2 linked regions of the Anolis sagrei genome follow. The protein of the gene in region 1 purifies or fractionates together with the protein of each later gene. This does not show direct contact. Links are inferred from orthologs where the notes say so. Each region holds a gene or a part of one and is shown in the gene's direction. Other genes may lie near its edges.

Region 1 (8,308 bases):
TTAAATCAAGAAACAGCTTGCTAAGATTCTATAGAGATACTCACAGGATCATCTCAGCAAGCGAGAGTCCAAAAGTGGCAGGCTAAATCAGTGACTGAGACTGGATGAGAAACTTCCCCTATGGCACACAGAAGGCTGAGCGACTTGGAAGGTACTGAACAAACTGCGATCTGGCACCACAAGATGCAGAGCCCACCTTAAGAAATGGGGCTACAAAGTGGAGTCCACGATGTGGAAGTGTGGAGAAGAGCAAACCACAGACTACCTATTACAATGCAATCTGAGCCTTGCCACGTGCACAATGGAGGACCATCTTACAGCCACACCAGAGGCACTTGAAGTGGCCAACTTCTGGTCAAAGGAAAATTAGTACAATGCCAAGCTCTTAACTTCGTGGTTTCTTGTATGCATTATAACTGTATTCTCAATTCACTTCTGACACGATAAATAAATCTGAAAGTGCCTGATGTACTCTGTCCCACTGAAAATGGATTAAAGGGCATTTTTAAGATTCAAAAAGTATTCGTGACAGTCAGTTACCTGGCCACTGGCCCTTTGTGCCCCTGGGCAGAGGGGGTTGCCTGGGTCGTGGCGGGGGACGTCATCCTGGGCTGACTCCTCCACTTGCCCTTGCCAGGGCCGCTTCATGCGATGAGCAGAGACCAGCACCCAGTCATCGCGCAGCGGGTTGTAGCGCAGGTGCTGGTGTTCTGTGCCAAAGCCAGACCATGAAAAGAGGGAAAGAAGGAGAAGAGGTCACCCCAATCTCTTTAAAGGTGAAGCCTTAGAAACACACAGCAAAGTAACCAGGTGCTGGAGTGTTGTGTAGTTTCCAGGCTGTATGGGTGTATTCTAGCAGCATTTTCTCCTGACAGTCTGGCAAAACACTCCAGTGATTCTGGCCATCAAAGCCATCAATAACCATGCATTTCTTACTCTCAGAAACAATCTTAATTTTGGCAAAAATTCAGTAGGAAAAAAAACAGATAAATGGAGGAACATTGGCATGAACTTAGAGGCAAAGCTCAGACATGCTATGCATTGTAGTGAACACCAGTAGCAAATCACCATACCTACGAGGGGTATTTTTTAAGTAAGGTCCGTTTTGTTGTAGACACTAGTAGTTTGCGTGCATACCGCAACGAGCGCATGCATCATGTTCCGGCATGCCTCAGGAACAACTGTGCTCAATTTCCGCTCTGCAGCTAACCTGTACCGTTCTGTTCTGTGCTTTAAAAATGTTTAAGACTGCTGCAGAAATTCATCAACAGATTTGTGAAGTGTATGGTGATACTGTTATGAGCGAAAGCAAAGTGCGTAAGTGGGTACGACAATTCAAAGATGGCTGTGACAACATCCATGATGAGGACCGCTCTGGTCGCCCTTCTTTGATTACAGACGATTTGGTGGCTTCAGTTGAAACGAGGATTCGTGAGAACAGACAGTGAACTCTTGGTTATCGTAGCAGGCGGCAAGTTTTTATGAAGAGGGTATTTTTAAATTGGTTCAGAGGTATGATAAGTGTTTGAACAAACTTGGCAACTATGTCGAAAAATAGAGTAAGTATGTACTTTCTGAAACTAAATAAACTTTAGTTGTGTACTTATGTTCAAACGGACCTTACTTAAAAAATACCCCTCGTACATGTATCCCTTAAGCAAAAGGTGAGACTAATAACTAGGTATCATACATCCATGATATCTCAGAGGATGGCCAGAAAGGTGATGCCGGAAGTGATAGAGGACATAATGAAAAAGCTACAAGTCCAACTAGAATTATTACTATTAGTAATAGAATTTTAAATGGGTTAGGGTTAAGGTGAAGCAGATGGCGGAAACAGAAGAACGGCCTGCCTCAGGGGAGCGTGCTTGCTCCATCCATGTTCAACATCTACACAAATAACCAGCCACTGCCAGAAGGGACAGAGAGTTTCATCTATGCTGATGATCGTGCCATCACTGCTCAAGCAGGGAGCTTTGAGATGGTTGAACAGAAGCTCTCCGAAGCTCTAGGTGCTCTTACTGCCTATTACAGGGAAAACCAGCTGATCCCTAATCCATCTAAAAGACAGACATGTGGCTTCCACCTTAAGAACAGACAAGCATCCCAAGCTCTGAGGACCAAGGCAGTGACATCTCCAGCCCATCCCTTGTTTGGGTATCAGCCAGCACATCAACGACTTAAATCTAGAAATAGTTTTCTAAGATCTACAGAGACACTTGCTGGAACACCCCAGCAAGCGAGAGTCCAAAAGTGGCAGGCTCAAACCCAGAACCTCAATCCATGGCTGATACCAAATGAGAGACTCCCTCCTGGGCACACAGAAAACTGGGCGACTTGGAAGGCGCTGAACAGACTGCGCTCTGGCACCACAAGATGCAGAGCCAATCTTAAGAAATGGGGCCACAAAGTAGAATCCACGAGATGCGAGTGTGGAAAAGAGCAATCCATTGACCCTGAGCCCTGCCACATGCACAATGGAGGACCTTCTTGCGGCAACACCAGAAGCACTCCAAGTGGCCAGATACTGCTCAAAGGACATTTAATCAACGACCAAACTCAGAAATTTTGTGTGTTTGTTTGCTTTGTTCTGTTAGAAATGTAATATAATTGACTGGTTGCCCTGACACGACAAATATAAATAGGGTGATTTAAAAGTGGTGCCAATCTGCATTATTCAATAGTGCAGGGCTCCTCAAACCATCCCAGCTTTCTGAAATCTGAATATCTTCTCTCTTTTTCCGTTCTTTATTTCTTACTTCTCTCCTTTCCCTCTTTGTCTCGTATCTACTTTTCTTTCAGGCACCTGAGAGGATGTTTGGAACCAGGTTTGAGCAAAGAGCTATCACTTCAGGGACAAGGGTTCCAATCCTCATTCAGCTGGCCAGACCAGTCAGTTTTAGTTATTGCTTTTAAATTGTTGTATTTTGACGCCCGTCTCAGATATTGGTTACATCCTGTTTAGACTACTGCAACGCTCTCTACGTGGGGTTGCCTCTGAAGACTGCCCGGAAGCTGCAGCTAGTCCAGCGCTCGGCAGCCAGACTACTAACGGATGCTGGGTACAGGGAGCACACCACTCCGCTGTTACACCAGCTCCACTGGTTGCCAATTAGCTTCCGAGCACAATTCAAAGTGCTGGTGTTAAAATATAAAGTAGGGCTGGGCGGTTTCGTTTCGTAATTTCCTAATTCGTTAAAAATTCGTTGTTTTTTTTTGGGATAACGAAGCGATATTGAACCATTCAGGAGCAACTAAAAAACGAAACAAATTTTTCCAATTCGTTTCGTAATTGTTTCGTAATTGATTCGTTATTGATTTGTAAATGTTTCATTATTATTTCCGCATGCCTGGTGCAAGTTTTAGGGTTGCTGTTTGTTTTCTCAGTGAAAAAAAATATAATTATCACACCAACAGTCAACAACAGAGGGAGAGGAAAGCTTCAGAAGTTTTTTTAGCGTATTGCGCGATCGCGGCCGCCATTAACGAATCGATTCGTAATTGATTCGTAATAGTTTCGTAATTGTTTTATGATTTCCGACATTTCGTAAATATCGAACTTTTTTAAAGGAAAATTTCGGAATTCTTTTAAATAACGAAACGCAAAAAACCCCTAAAAATGAATCGAGTTTAGAAACAATTTTTTCCGTGTTTGGACAGCCCTACTATAAAGCCCTAAACGACTCCGGCCCTGTTTACCTCTCCGAATGTATTCTCCCCTATGAACCATCAAGATTATTAAGATAGTCAGGAGAAATGCCTCTAGAACATGGCCCTATAGCCCGAAAAAACCTACAAGAACCTAGTGATTCCAGCCATGAAAGCCTTCGACAATACATTATTAAGATCGTCTGGAGAGGCCCTGCAAGCGCGTCTGGTGGGGACGAGGGACAGGGCCTTCTCGGTGGTGGCCCCTCGACTCTGGAACTCTCTCCCACTGGAGATCAGAACTGCCCCTTCTATTCTGACATTTAGGAAACAGGTGAAGACGTGGTTATGGAGACAGGCATTCGATGAGTGAACCAACACCCTGAGATACAGATGGAGGATGATGAGCAAGGATTTTAGTGTGACGACTGACCATTGTAGTTATTGATTGTAATTGCTGTTTTAATGTTTTACTGTAATATGTATTATGATGTTTTATTGATTGTATGTGATATTATGGTTGGAAACCGGTCTGAGTCCCTCAAGAGAGGTGAGAAGGCCGGCATACAAAACTTTTAAATAAATAAAATCAATATTTCAACATGTTTGTTTTAATAGACAGGGAGACCCTACCTACCGCTTGGCTGGAACTTTCCCTCAGACGCCATCTTGCTTTTCCTGCCGGGGCGCTCACGTGACCAATCCCATCCGCGATTGGTTGAAGACCTCCGCCAATCAAGCGCGCCGATTCACACACGTCACTTTCCCCGCCCAGCCATCGGGCGAGCCCGAAAGCGAGGACTGCGATTGGCCGGCCGCTGTAAAGAGAGGAGCGCCGCCATTGGCTGCTTTCTGTCTCGCGCCGAGAGCGGGAAAGAGGCCCGCGCCGGTGATTGGCTGTGCCTGTCCTTGGCGGCGGCCTGGTGGGCCCTCCGAGGCGCTGCTCGCGTAGCGCCCTCCGCGGCCAGGATGAGGGGCCTGCCGGGGTCGCGCTCCGTCCGGGTGGCCCTCGCCGTGGCCGCCGCCGCGCTCCTCGTCCAGGTGCTGCGCAGCTGGGCCGCCGCCTCCAGCTCTGCCCGCCGCTTCGAGTTCGACCCGGAGGAGATCGCCCGGCTCGGGAAGCACCACGCCGGTGGGTAGGCCTCCCCTGGCCCTGGCAGCGTTACCGACCCGCATTCGTTCCTCAGTGTAGGCGCAGGCTCCGTCCAGGGATTGTAGTTTCTTTTATTGTCTGTGCAAAGGAATTTTGGACAGCATGAAGTTGCAAAGTCAATCAGTGAAGGTATCTGCCTGGAGGTGGCCTGGCTGCTGTGGCCTGGAGGCACCCTCAGTTTGGGAGGTCTTCACTGGCAATTGCAAAGTCAATCAGTGAAGGTATCTGCCTGGAGGTGGCCTGGCTGCTGTGGCCTGGAGGCGCCCTCAGTTTGGGAGGGACTCAGGACGGCTTCCAACAGGCAGCTATTCGATGCCGACACAATATAATAACATAACATTAAATACAATTAGCATACATTAAAAACAGTTATAAATATACATAAAATATGCATTAAAACAGTTTGCCGGTTCAAATCGTCATCCAAATCAGTCCATTGCGGTCCACTAAAACCTTAGCTTTCTCTTTCTTTGGAAGCTGGGCCTGTAAGAGCTGTCTTTTCTATAGGACGTATACTTTAAGCCCAGCGGGAAGCCTCAAAGAGAGGTTCTCAGGGATTTTTCTGAAGTGATGGTCTTTAGAGTCTTTAACGATACGTCTTTATTAAGGAACAAACAACAAATCTTCAATGGTTCAAACAACACTTCAAGGCTTTCTTAGTCTAGTCCTCAATGGGCTGGCACCTGACTTTAATTAACTGTACTTTCTCTGTAGGAAAAAAACCCCCTTTTTAACCTTTCCCAGGCTGTTTACTATCTATGCCTCATCAGTGTGGGTCCTACTACCGATTCCAAATGCGTCTGGGTATCAAGTAGACCTACCAGCCAAGGCTTGTAGATATTTCAGATGGAGTTCCATGGATCTGTAGTGCTGTCCTCCCTCAGAGAATTCTTTGAGAACTTCAGGGCTGTTTTCCCTCTGTTTGCTGTGAGGCTGTGAGCTCTCAGCCAGAGCCTTGGGACCTTTTCCCTGGAATTTCTGTTTACCCGAATGGTCTGTTCCCCTGGATGCTCTGGAGAAAGGAAGCTTTTCTACGGGACGAGCTGGTCTACATCATATAGCTTAGCTACCTTGTGTGAGACTGACCAAAAAGGGCTCCTTTCCCTCCCAGAGCCCTGAACAAGGGCGGAACCAAAGCTTAATTAAGATGGACAGGTGGCCTGCCCTATGATTGCAAACTTTAACAGAAAGAAAATAAAGTTGGAGCTCCTGGTACAGCCATACCAGTACAGGGTTTTTTTTTTTCCTACACAGGGTTCCTACATAGCAAAGGGTTTTTTTTTCCTACACAGAAGCTTTTAAACAGAGGCTGGATGGTGCGGGGGTGCTTTGAATGTAATTTTCCTGCTTGCTGGCAGAATGGGGTTGAACTGGATGGCTCACCAGGTCTCTTCCAACTCTAGGATTCTATACCAGTACTTGGGCCCTTTCTCCAGGTGTTTTGGACTTCAACTCCCACAATTCCTACTGACTGTTAGGAATTGTGGGAGTTGAAGTCCAAAACACCTGGAGAGAGGGCCCAAGTTTGCCCAAGCCTGGTTTAGCAGGCATGCCAATCAAGTTTGCAGATGACACCAAATTAGGAGGGAGAGCTAATACTCCAGAGTGAAGAGGCTAACGTGCGAAACCCCTTTTTAAGCAGGCAAAGCTTGTGGAACCCCCTAGTCTTGGTTTCCAATAAGGAACTAGAAGGCAGCGTAGACAGAAAAACACAGAGTTATTTGCAAATCAGCTGCAGGTGACCATCCTGAAAGGAAAGCCGCACACCAAAATGAGATCTTACATAGGATTCTTATAGTTTTTGCAGGTACAGTGCACTTCACAAACATCCTTGTTCTCACGCCCCCTCTCCTTTTCATTTTGTTTCATCCTGCACATGGCACCATTTGATCAGATGCTTACCAAAACAGCTCAGGAAAACACAACTTCCCAATTCCAATTTGACCTTCCAGACCTTCAATTGAGCTCTCCGAATCTCTAAAGAAGGTGGTTGCCTTTCTTTGCCCTGTCAGCCTGTTTTTCTCATAGCAGATTCTAACACTAAAGACTAAGCCTATTTATTTGATCAAACTATGCTTCATACCATTGCTATATATTAATCAAATTAAAGAGGTGTCCATTGTCCCCTTCATGTTCCTTGTTTCGTGTCTTGATTTTGGCATTTTTTAATACTGGTAACCAGATTCTATTCATTTTCATGGTGAAGGGGACAAGATTTAAGTAATAAATTGCAATGGTATGAAGAATACTATGAATTCTTCATACAATTCAAGAGAGATATTGACAAGCTGGAATGTGTCCAGAGGAGGGCGACTAAAATGATCAAGGGTCTGGAGAACAAGCCCTATGAAGAGCATCTTAAAGAGCTGGGGATGTTTAGCCTGAAGAAGAGAAGGCTGAGAGGAGATATGATAGCCATGTATAAATATGTGAGAGCTTGTTTTCCGCTGCCCTGGAGACTAGGATGTGGAACAGTGGCTTCCAACTACAAGAGAGGAGATTCCATCTGAACATGAGGAAGAACTTCGTGACTGCAAGAGCCGTTCAGCAGTGGAACTCTCTGCCCCGGAGTTTGGTGGAGGCTCCTTCTTTGGAAGCTTTTAAACAGAGGCTGGATGGCCATCTGTCAGGGGTGCTTTGAATGCAATATTCCTTCTTCTTGACAGGAAGTTGGACTGGATGGCCCACGAGGTCTCTTCCAACTCTATGATTCTATAATAAATAGAAAACCGTAGTCTTAGAAGAGTTTTAGATCAATGATCAATGCCTGCCATGGAAAACACACACATGAAAAGGTTGACAGGGCAATAAAATGGTAACCAAAAGGGAGCTCTTCCAACTGATCATTTTTGCAAATAGGGTCTTCACATTTGCAGTTTTGCCTTTTTAGGATTTTGTTGTGTTTTATGTTTATGTTTATTTTTTATGCGTCTTCCCTCTCATCTGTGGGGTTCTCTTCATCTTCTGTATTTGCCTTTCCTCATTGGTATTTTGTTAATGGTTTATTACGTCTTGGCATCTTCCCTCTTCTGTTTACTAATTATTTCTCATCCTGTTCTGATTTATCACTCTTAGTAAATTATTAAACAGGGAGGAAGAAAAGTCTCCCAGAATGGCAAGTCATAACACGGATGTTCTCTCTAGGTCTCCCAGTGTGACTCTACAGGCAGTTTCCCCCACTTAGGCAAAAGATTTTGAGAAAAAAAATACCTTTCTAAGAATTTCTAGGTCCTCTAATGTGATTCTGTGTTCCATTCCAGTGGAAATTGACCATAGGATTGTGCTGGAAACCTAGACCAGGAATGGGCAAACTTTGGCCTTCCCTCCAAGCATTTTGGACTTCAACTCTCACAATTCCTAATAGCCTACCAGCTGTTAGGAATTATGTTTATTATGTTGAAGTCCAAAACGCCTGTAGGGAGGGCCAAAGTTTGCCCATGCCTGGCCTAGGCATTCCTAGAGAAGTGTTCTCTCAGGTAAAAAAAATGCATTTTTTAAATTCATGGT
Region 2 (8,379 bases), on another chromosome or scaffold:
CCCATAATTATGGTTATCAGCTTGATTTCTACCTGCAAAGGAAGGAGCCACGGTGGCACAATGGGTTAAACCTTTGTGCCGGCTGAACTGAAGGTCGGTGGTTTGAATCCTCAAGACAGGGTGAGCTCCCGTCTGTTAGCTCCAGCTCCAGCAGGCATGTGAAAGAAGCCTCCTACAGGATAGTAACACATCCGGCCGTCCCCTGGGCAATGTCTCTGCAGATGGCCATTTCTCTCACACCAAAAGCGACTTGTAGTTTCTCAGGGTTGCTTCTGACACAATGCAATGGAGTTTGTTTTTTTTTAATTATGTCTCCCAGCTTGGAACTTCTTTCATATTAAGTGCAGTTTGGCCCTCCAAAGGTAGAGAGTTTTTTCCCCATTTCAAATATGCTTTTACTACTTCATCATACTAGAGAATGAATCCACTTTAAATCTAGTTGCAGAATTCTGGGGTTTGTAGTTTAGTGAGGCTGTTTAAAGGCTGCTCCCTAAACTACAAACCCCAGAATTCTGCAGGAGGCAGAAACCGGATTTAAAGTGGATTCATTCTCTAATATGATGAGATCCTTAGTTAGTCTTTCAGTATATTGGTGAGCAGTATTTTATCCAAGCTATATACTAATTTATATGACATTAAACTATAGGGATTTTTAAAGAAATGCTTTTGCATGCTGCTGATGTAAAAGTCTAGAAGGATCCTAGTATGAACCATGAAGCAAAGGGCAAAAACTTGTCCCATTGATTATTTTATTCACAAGAAGAAAGTCCTCACTGTGGTCTGTCATTTACAGGATTCATGCAAGTAATCTAAAAATCTGAATATTAGTCATATCCTTTTGTCTCATGGTATATTCTATGTAGGCTCCTCTATCACACAACAGTGAAAATCTATTTAAATGATTTTGCTTCTGTAACAAAATCTTTGTTTTCCTATTAAATTTAATTAGATGGACTTTGGATTTCTTCATATCCTTTACATTTTAAAACAGGATGACAATATTTATGAACTGAATCATGATAACCTTTCTAAAAATAAGTATTTTCACCAGCTGATGGTCCCAAAAGGTCGGTTGCGAAACACTGAGTGGCATTTGTGCTGACTGACACACAGACACTCCTGCTTAGTCATTTGGTTACTACTGAGTCAGATAACAAGCAAGTTAACACTGTCATCCAATAGTAATAATGTCAATACTAGTTAACTACTTTATTTCAGCAACACACACATTTTGTATCCATGTAAACAACATACTGGACGAAATTCTCCCATGCTCCATCTCCATCGGTTCTACAATCTTAAAAAGCCAAACATCGCATAACAGTATATAGAATGGAGCCAGTAAAATGTATAATCAAGAAGATGGAAGTGTGGCAAGAAAGACAACTTTCTGCACTTTTATCTGAGGGTTAAGACCTCTGTAATCAGTTGGTTTACTCTCTCTCTCCCCCAAAAATGTGTGCAACAATGTTGTGGATCTAGTGCAATGTTTCTCAACCTTCCTAATGCTGTGATCCCTTAATATAGTTCTTCATCTTGTGGTGACCTCCAACCATAAAATATTTTTGTTGCTACTTCATAACTGTAATTTTGAAAGTGTTATGAATCTTGATGCAGGGTGTTTTTTCATTGACTGAATCAAATTTGGTACAAATACTCAATATGCTCAAATTTGAATACTGGTGGGATTGGGAGGGGGATTGATTTTGTCATTTGGGAATTGTAGTTGCTGGGATTTATAGTTCACCTACAATCAAACGGCATTCTGAATTCCAGCAATAATGGAATTGAACCAGATTTGGCACACAGAACTCCCACGACCAACAGAAAATACTGACCTTGAGTTTTGGAGTTGTAGTTCACCTACATCCAGAGAGCACTGTTGAGTCAAACAATGATGGATCTGGACTAAACTTGGCACAAATACTCAATATGCCCAAATGTGAATACTGGTGGAGTTTGGGGGAAATAGACCTTGACACTTGGGAGTTGTAGTTGCAGGGATTTATAGTTCACTTACAATCAAAGAGCATTCTGAACCCCAACAACTATAGAATCGGACCAAACTTCCCACACAGAAGCCTCATGCTAAACAGAAAATACTGTGTTTTCTGATGGTCTTTGGCAACCCCTCTGACATCCTCCTTGTGACCCCCACCCCAAATGGGTCCCACCCCCCAGGTTAAGAAACAGTGATCTAGTGTTAAAAATTATCAGCATTATTAAAGGTATTATACATCGGCAAATAATACTTTTTAGATCATCTACCAGAGACACAATAGAAGGGACTGATAGCTTTGTCAGCCGTACTTCAGATTGGAGTGAATGGGTCAGAATGGGTTTGCAGCCACAATCTCAGCACTTTCCTAGGAAGATTAGATGAAAGCTACACAAAGGTCATCCTATAATTTTTAAACACAAAACAACGGGAGTGTCACAGACAAAGATTTACAGAGCAAGGGGCCTGCAAACCAAAGGCACGTGAGGAAGAAAGACATCCAGGCCTCTCAAGTAATGACACACTGGAAATAAATGGAAGTCGGCTGTTGTAGGACAAACACTCCCATTGTTGAAAGAATTGTGATACAATCCAAAACAGCAAGACACACCACAATGCTGATCGCTCAAGCACATCACATGCTTTTGTGAGCACAAACAAAAGCAACTGTATTATAACTGGCATGGAAATCCATAAAAGATTGTTTGCTTCCAGGGAGCTAGATCTGAAACTTTCAAATACCGGGATCAATCCAGTGTCGCTTCCCTTTTTCTAAGACCTTGTCTACACTGTCATGTAACTGCAGGATATGGTCAGTACAGACTCACGTGATGCAGTTTGATTGCAGTTCAGAAAGGCGTCTATGGCACTTCCAGACGGCTTAAGGAACTGCGTAAGAAATCTGCTTCTCCAAACTTTTAATGAGCCTAAATCTAGATCCAACTCCTTACATGTGAAGTATAAATTTCAATAAAGTTTTGCTGATCCAAGAAAAACATGTTTTTTTTTCTTGCAACATCTATTTAGTTTCCAGCTTTGGTTTAGAAAAAAAATATTACCTGCCTCCGAGTCTCACTTATCCAACATAAATAGGCTGGCAGAACGTTGGATAAGCGAAAATGTTGGATAATAAGGAGAGATTAAGGAAAAGCCTATTAAACATCAAATTATATTAGATAAAGGTTTTCTCCTGACATTAAGTCCAGTCGTGTCCAACTCTGGGGTGTGGTGCTCATCTCAATTTCTAAGCCAAAAAGCTGGCATTGTCCGTAGACACCTCCAAGGTCATGTGGCCAGCATGACTGCATGGAGCACCAGCGGGAAAGTAATCAGGATTTTCTTAGGCAAGGAAGACTCAGGGCCCTTCCAAACACAACCTATATCCTGGGATCTGATCCCAGGTTTTCTGCTTTAAACTGGATTATACGAGTCCGCACTGCCAGATAAACTGAGATAAACAGAAAACTTGGGATCAGGTCCTGGGATATAGGGCCTGTCTGGAAAGTCCCTCTGTTGTTGTTAACTACCTTGATTAGCTTTTAATGGCTTTGCAGCTTCAAGGTCTGGCTGGTTACTGCCTGGGGGAATCCTTTGTTGGGAGGTGATTAGCTGTCCCTGATTGCTTCTTGTCTGGAGTTCCTCTGTTTTTTTGGATGTTGTTCTTTATTTACTGTTATAATTTTAGAGTTTTTTAAATACAGGTAGCCAGAGTTTCTCCATTTTCATGGTTTCTTCCTTCCTGTTGAAATTGTCCACATGCGTGTGGATTTAATTGGCTTCTCTGTGTAGTCTGACATGGTGTTTCCACAGATATGGACATTCCACAGATATAGGTAAAGGTTTCCCCTGACATAAAGTCTAGTCATGTCTCACTCTGGGGGTTGGTGCTCATCTCCATTTCTAAGCTGAAGAGCCAGTGTTGTCCATAGACACCTCCAAGGTCATGTGGCCGGCATGACTGCAAAAAGCGCTGTTACCTTCCCGCCTGAGTGGTACCTACCGATCTACTCACATTTGCATGTTTTTGAACTATTAGGTTGGCAGAAGCCGGGGCTGACGGCAGGATATTATAAACCCAATTTTCCTAGTTTCTAACAGACCTCACAACCTCAACCATAGATGCAGGCGAAATGTCAGGAGAGAATGCTTTTGGAACACGGCCATACAGCCTGGAAAATTTACAGCAGCTCAGAAGTTGAAATGGTCCTTTCTCTGGAAGGGTGGGATTGCGAAAGGATGGGACTAGGGAGGAAGAAGGCAACATACAATTAAAAATAATATATTAAAATAGCATAAAAACAACATAAACAATAATAAACAAGCATTCTAAGCAGCAACAGACTCATATTTGGGGGAAGGGAGAGTGGGCCAATATGCAAAACTAGTTAAGATAGCCTTTAACAGCCCCCCCCCCTAAACTACAAAGCCCAGAATTCTGCTGGAGGCAGAAACCGGATTGAAAGTGGATTCATTCCATAGTGCAGGCATGGGCCAACTTGGGCCCTCTTTCCAGGTGTTTTGGACTTCAACTCCCTACCGGCTGTTAGGAATTGTGGGAGTTGAAGTCCAAAACACCTGGAAGGAGGGCCCAAGTTGGCCCATGCCGGCAGACGAGTCTTATTTGCAAGGCGAGGCTCAAGGGCGGAGGAACCGGTTCCTGGAGCCGTCCTCGGGGGAGGAGCTCTTCAAGTCACCCCACAGGAAAGGGGCGGCCTCCTCCTCCTCCTCCTCCTCCTCCTCTTTGGGGGCGGGCTCACTCTCTAGCCTGGCCAGGCCTTTCCGCTCCCAGGCTTGTCCTCCTGACTCCCGGCGTTGCTTTCTCAGCTCCCCTCCGAGATGGCGAACCGGGCCCGCGGCCTGAGCCTCCTCGCCGTGGCCTCTTTCCTGGCGCTGCTTCTTCCCGACAAGGTGAGTGAGTCCACCAGCAGGCAGGGCTCAGCCACACCGCACCTTGGTCGCGGGTTGACAGTTGTGGGGTTCCTGGGGGTAGAAGGAGAGGCAGCTCGAAAGAAAGCCCGCAAGTCCCAGCATTAAGCCTTTCAAGCGCTCTGCTGGGTCCGCACTGGGCCAGGGGAGAAAAAATCCACTTAAAATCCGCTTGCCTCATCACACTAGAGGAAAAAAATCCACTTGAAATCCGGTTTCTGCCTCCCGCAGAATTCTGGGGTTTGTAGTTTATTAGATATTTTGGGGTTTGTAGTTTATTAGATATTTTGGGGTTTGTAGTTTAGGGAGGATATCAAATTCTGGGGTTTGTAGTTTAGGTAGGCTATTATATTTTGGGGTTTGTAGTTTAGGGAGGATATTCAATTCTAGGTTTTGTAGTTTAAGAAGACTATGCAATTCAGGGGTTTGTAGTTTAGGGAGACTATGAAATCCTGGGATTTGTAGTTTAGGGAGGCTATTCAATTCTAGGGTTTTTTTAGTTTAGGCAGGCTGTGCAATTCTGAGGTTTGTAGTCTAGGGAGGCTATGAAATTCTAGGGTTAGTCGTTTAGAGAAGCTATTCAATTCTGGGATTTCTCGTTTAGGGAGGTTATTAAATTCTGGGGTTTATAGTTTAGGGAGGCTATCAAATACTGGGGTTTGTAGATTAGGGAGGCTATCAAATACTTGGGCTTGTAGTTTTGGGAGGCTATTAAATTCTTGGGTTTTAGTTTAGGGAGGCTATTAAATTCTGGGATTTGTAGTTTAGGGAGGCTATTCAATTCTGTGGTTCGTTGTTTAGAGGAATATTCAATTATGGGGTTTCTCATTTAGGGAGGCTATTAAATTCTGGGGTTTCTCGTTTAGGGAGGGTATTCTTTTCCGGGGTTTGTAGTTTAGGGAGGCTATGACATTCTGTGGTTTGAAGTTTTGGGAGGCTATTAAATTCTGGGGTTTGTAGTTTTGGGAGGCTATTAAATTCTGAGGTTTGTAGTTTAGGGAGGCTATTAAATACTGGGGTTTGATGTTTTGGGAGGCTATTCAATTCTGGGGTTTGTAGTTTAGGGAGGCTATGAAAGGCTTCTTCCTCAGCTACAAACCCCAGAATTCTGCAGGAGGCAGAAACCGGATTTAAGTGATTTTTTTCTCTCTAGTGTGATGCAGCATTAGTGGGTTTACAAAGAAGCCCTCCTCAAAGGGGGCAAAAGGTCAAGAAAATACCCCAGAAATGTGCTTATTAGGACTGTTTAAACCAGACATGGGCCAACTTGGGCCCTCCAGGTATTTTGGACTTCAACTCCCACCATTCCTAACAGCCTCGGGCCCTTTCCTATTCCCAAGGAAGGGCCTGAGGCTGTTAGGAATGGTAGGAGTTGAAGTCCAAAACACCTAGAGGATCCAACTTGGCCCATACCTGGTGTAGATACTACATGGCAAGGGGTTGGACTAGATGTCCCATGTGTTCCAACTCTATGATACACCCAAAGAGACTGGGAATGGAGTGCTTTGTGGGTTGTGTGGTGGTGGCATTCAGCAGCAGGATGAGTGAGTGCAAGAGAGATGATTCAGGGCTGCAGGAGAGGAAAACAACCCCAAGTGTCTCCCCGTCCAATGTTTACCTTTCTCCAAGGTACAGGCAGTCCCTGAGTTACAAATATCTGACTTAGAAACAACTCATATTAAGAACGGGGTGAGACAATAGGAAGTGAGAGAGAAATTATTATCCTAGGAAGGGGATAATTCACTCCTGACAGAGTTATCATAGGTCAGTGGTTCTCAACCTTCCTAATCCCATGACCCCTTAATACAGTTCCTCATGTTGTGGTGGCCACCAAATCATAAAATTATTTTCATTGTTAATTCATAACTGTAATTTTGCTACTGTTCTGAATCATCATGTAAATATATGATATTATTATATTATTATTATATTATTATAACTTTATTTGTACCCCGCTAGCATCTCCCAAGGGATTCGATGCGGCTTACAGCAGGCCAGAGCCCAACACAATACAACAATACAGTACATAGCAAATAAAACAGTTAAAGCAGAAAACAATAAACAATAGCAATGCAACAGGACAATTATTAAAAACTGAGCCGGCCGGAGTAGGGGTACAGGATTAAAAAGTGCTGAAGTGTCGGAGGGATATGGGATTAAAATCAAGTGCAGTGTGCAATGAGCAGTGATCTTGGCTCTACTAAAGTGCTTCTGGGGTTTGGTAGTGGGGTTCCTAATCTGAAAAGGCACGTTGGAACAGCCAGGTTTTCAGATTCTTTCTGAAAACCGCCAAAGTAGGGGCCTGTCTGAGATCTTTCGGGAGGGCATTCCAGAGGCGGGGGGCCACCACAGAGAAGGCCCTGTCTCGCGTCCCCACCAAACGCGGCTGTGACGCGGGCGGGATCACGAGCAGGGCCTCTCCTGATGACTGGAGTGAGCGTGTGGGTTCGTAGACAGCGATGCGGTCACGCAGGTAGGGTGGTCCCAAACCGTTCAGGGCTTTGTAGGTAAGCACCTGCACCTTAAATTGGGCTCAGAAAATGAACGGCAGCCAGTGGAGCTCCTTAAACAGGAGGGTTGACCTCTCTCTGTAATGGGCCCCCGTTAACATGCAGGGTGTATTTTCATTCACTGGACCAAATTTGGCATAAATACCCAATATGCCCAAATTTGAATATAGTGGGGTTGGGGGGGATTAATTTTGTCATTTGGGAGTTGTAGTTGCTGGGATTTATAGTTCACCTACAATCAAAGAGCATTCTGTACTCCACCAATGATGGAATCGAACCAAACTTGGCACGCAGAACTCTATCTGATATGCAGGATGTATTTTCATTCACTGGACGAAAAATTGGCACAAATACTCAATATGCCCAAATGTGAACACTGGTGGAGTTTGGGGGAAATAGACCTTAACATTTGGGAGGTGTAGTTGCTGGGATTTATAGTTCACCTACTATCATGGAGCATTCTGAACTCCACCAACGATGGAATTGAATCAAACTTGGCATACAGAACTCCCATGACCAACAGAAAATACTGGAAGAGTTTGGTGGGCATTGACCTTGAGTTTTGGAGTTGTAGTTCACCTACATCCAGAGAGCATTGTGGACACAAAAATTGATGGATCTGGACCAAACTTGGCACAAATACTCAATATGCCCAAATGTGAACATTTGTGGAGTGTGGGGGAAAATAGACCTTGTCATTTGGGAGTTGTAGTAGTGGGATTTATAGTTCACCTACAACCAAAGAGCATTCTGAACCCCACCAATGATAGATTTAGTCCAAGCTTCCCACACAGAACCCCCATGATCAACAGAAAATACTGTGTTTTCTGATGGTCTTTGGTGACCCCTCTGACACCCCCTGGTGACCCCCCCCCCCAGCAGTCTCAACCCCCAGGTTGAGAAGCATTCATTGATATACTGCCTACGCACTCCAGGACTCCCGGC

What was found.
Region 2: the proteins of SIGMAR1 (region 1) and NPC1 purify together in Homo sapiens (affinity purification with mass spectrometry; 3 studies listed by BioGRID and IntAct, with this or other methods). This does not show direct contact. The link is inferred for Anolis sagrei from reciprocal best matches to the Homo sapiens genes SIGMAR1 and NPC1.

The regions. Positions count from the first base shown.
Region 1 is NC_090022.1:300,379,071-300,387,378, forward strand, and holds the start of SIGMAR1 (sigma non-opioid intracellular receptor 1), read left to right. Parts: upstream 1-4,534; 5' UTR 4,535-4,617; coding exon 4,618-4,780; intron 4,781-8,308. Other genes in the region: GALT (galactose-1-phosphate uridylyltransferase), read right to left, coding at 541-710, 4,286-4,316. UniProt on the Homo sapiens protein: Functions in lipid transport from the endoplasmic reticulum and is involved in a wide array of cellular functions probably through regulation of the biogenesis of lipid microdomains at the plasma membrane.
Region 2 is NC_090024.1:59,674,919-59,683,297, forward strand, and holds the start of NPC1 (NPC intracellular cholesterol transporter 1), read left to right. Parts: upstream 1-4,731; 5' UTR 4,732-4,834; coding exon 4,835-4,906; intron 4,907-8,379. UniProt on the Homo sapiens protein: Intracellular cholesterol transporter which acts in concert with NPC2 and plays an important role in the egress of cholesterol from the endosomal/lysosomal compartment.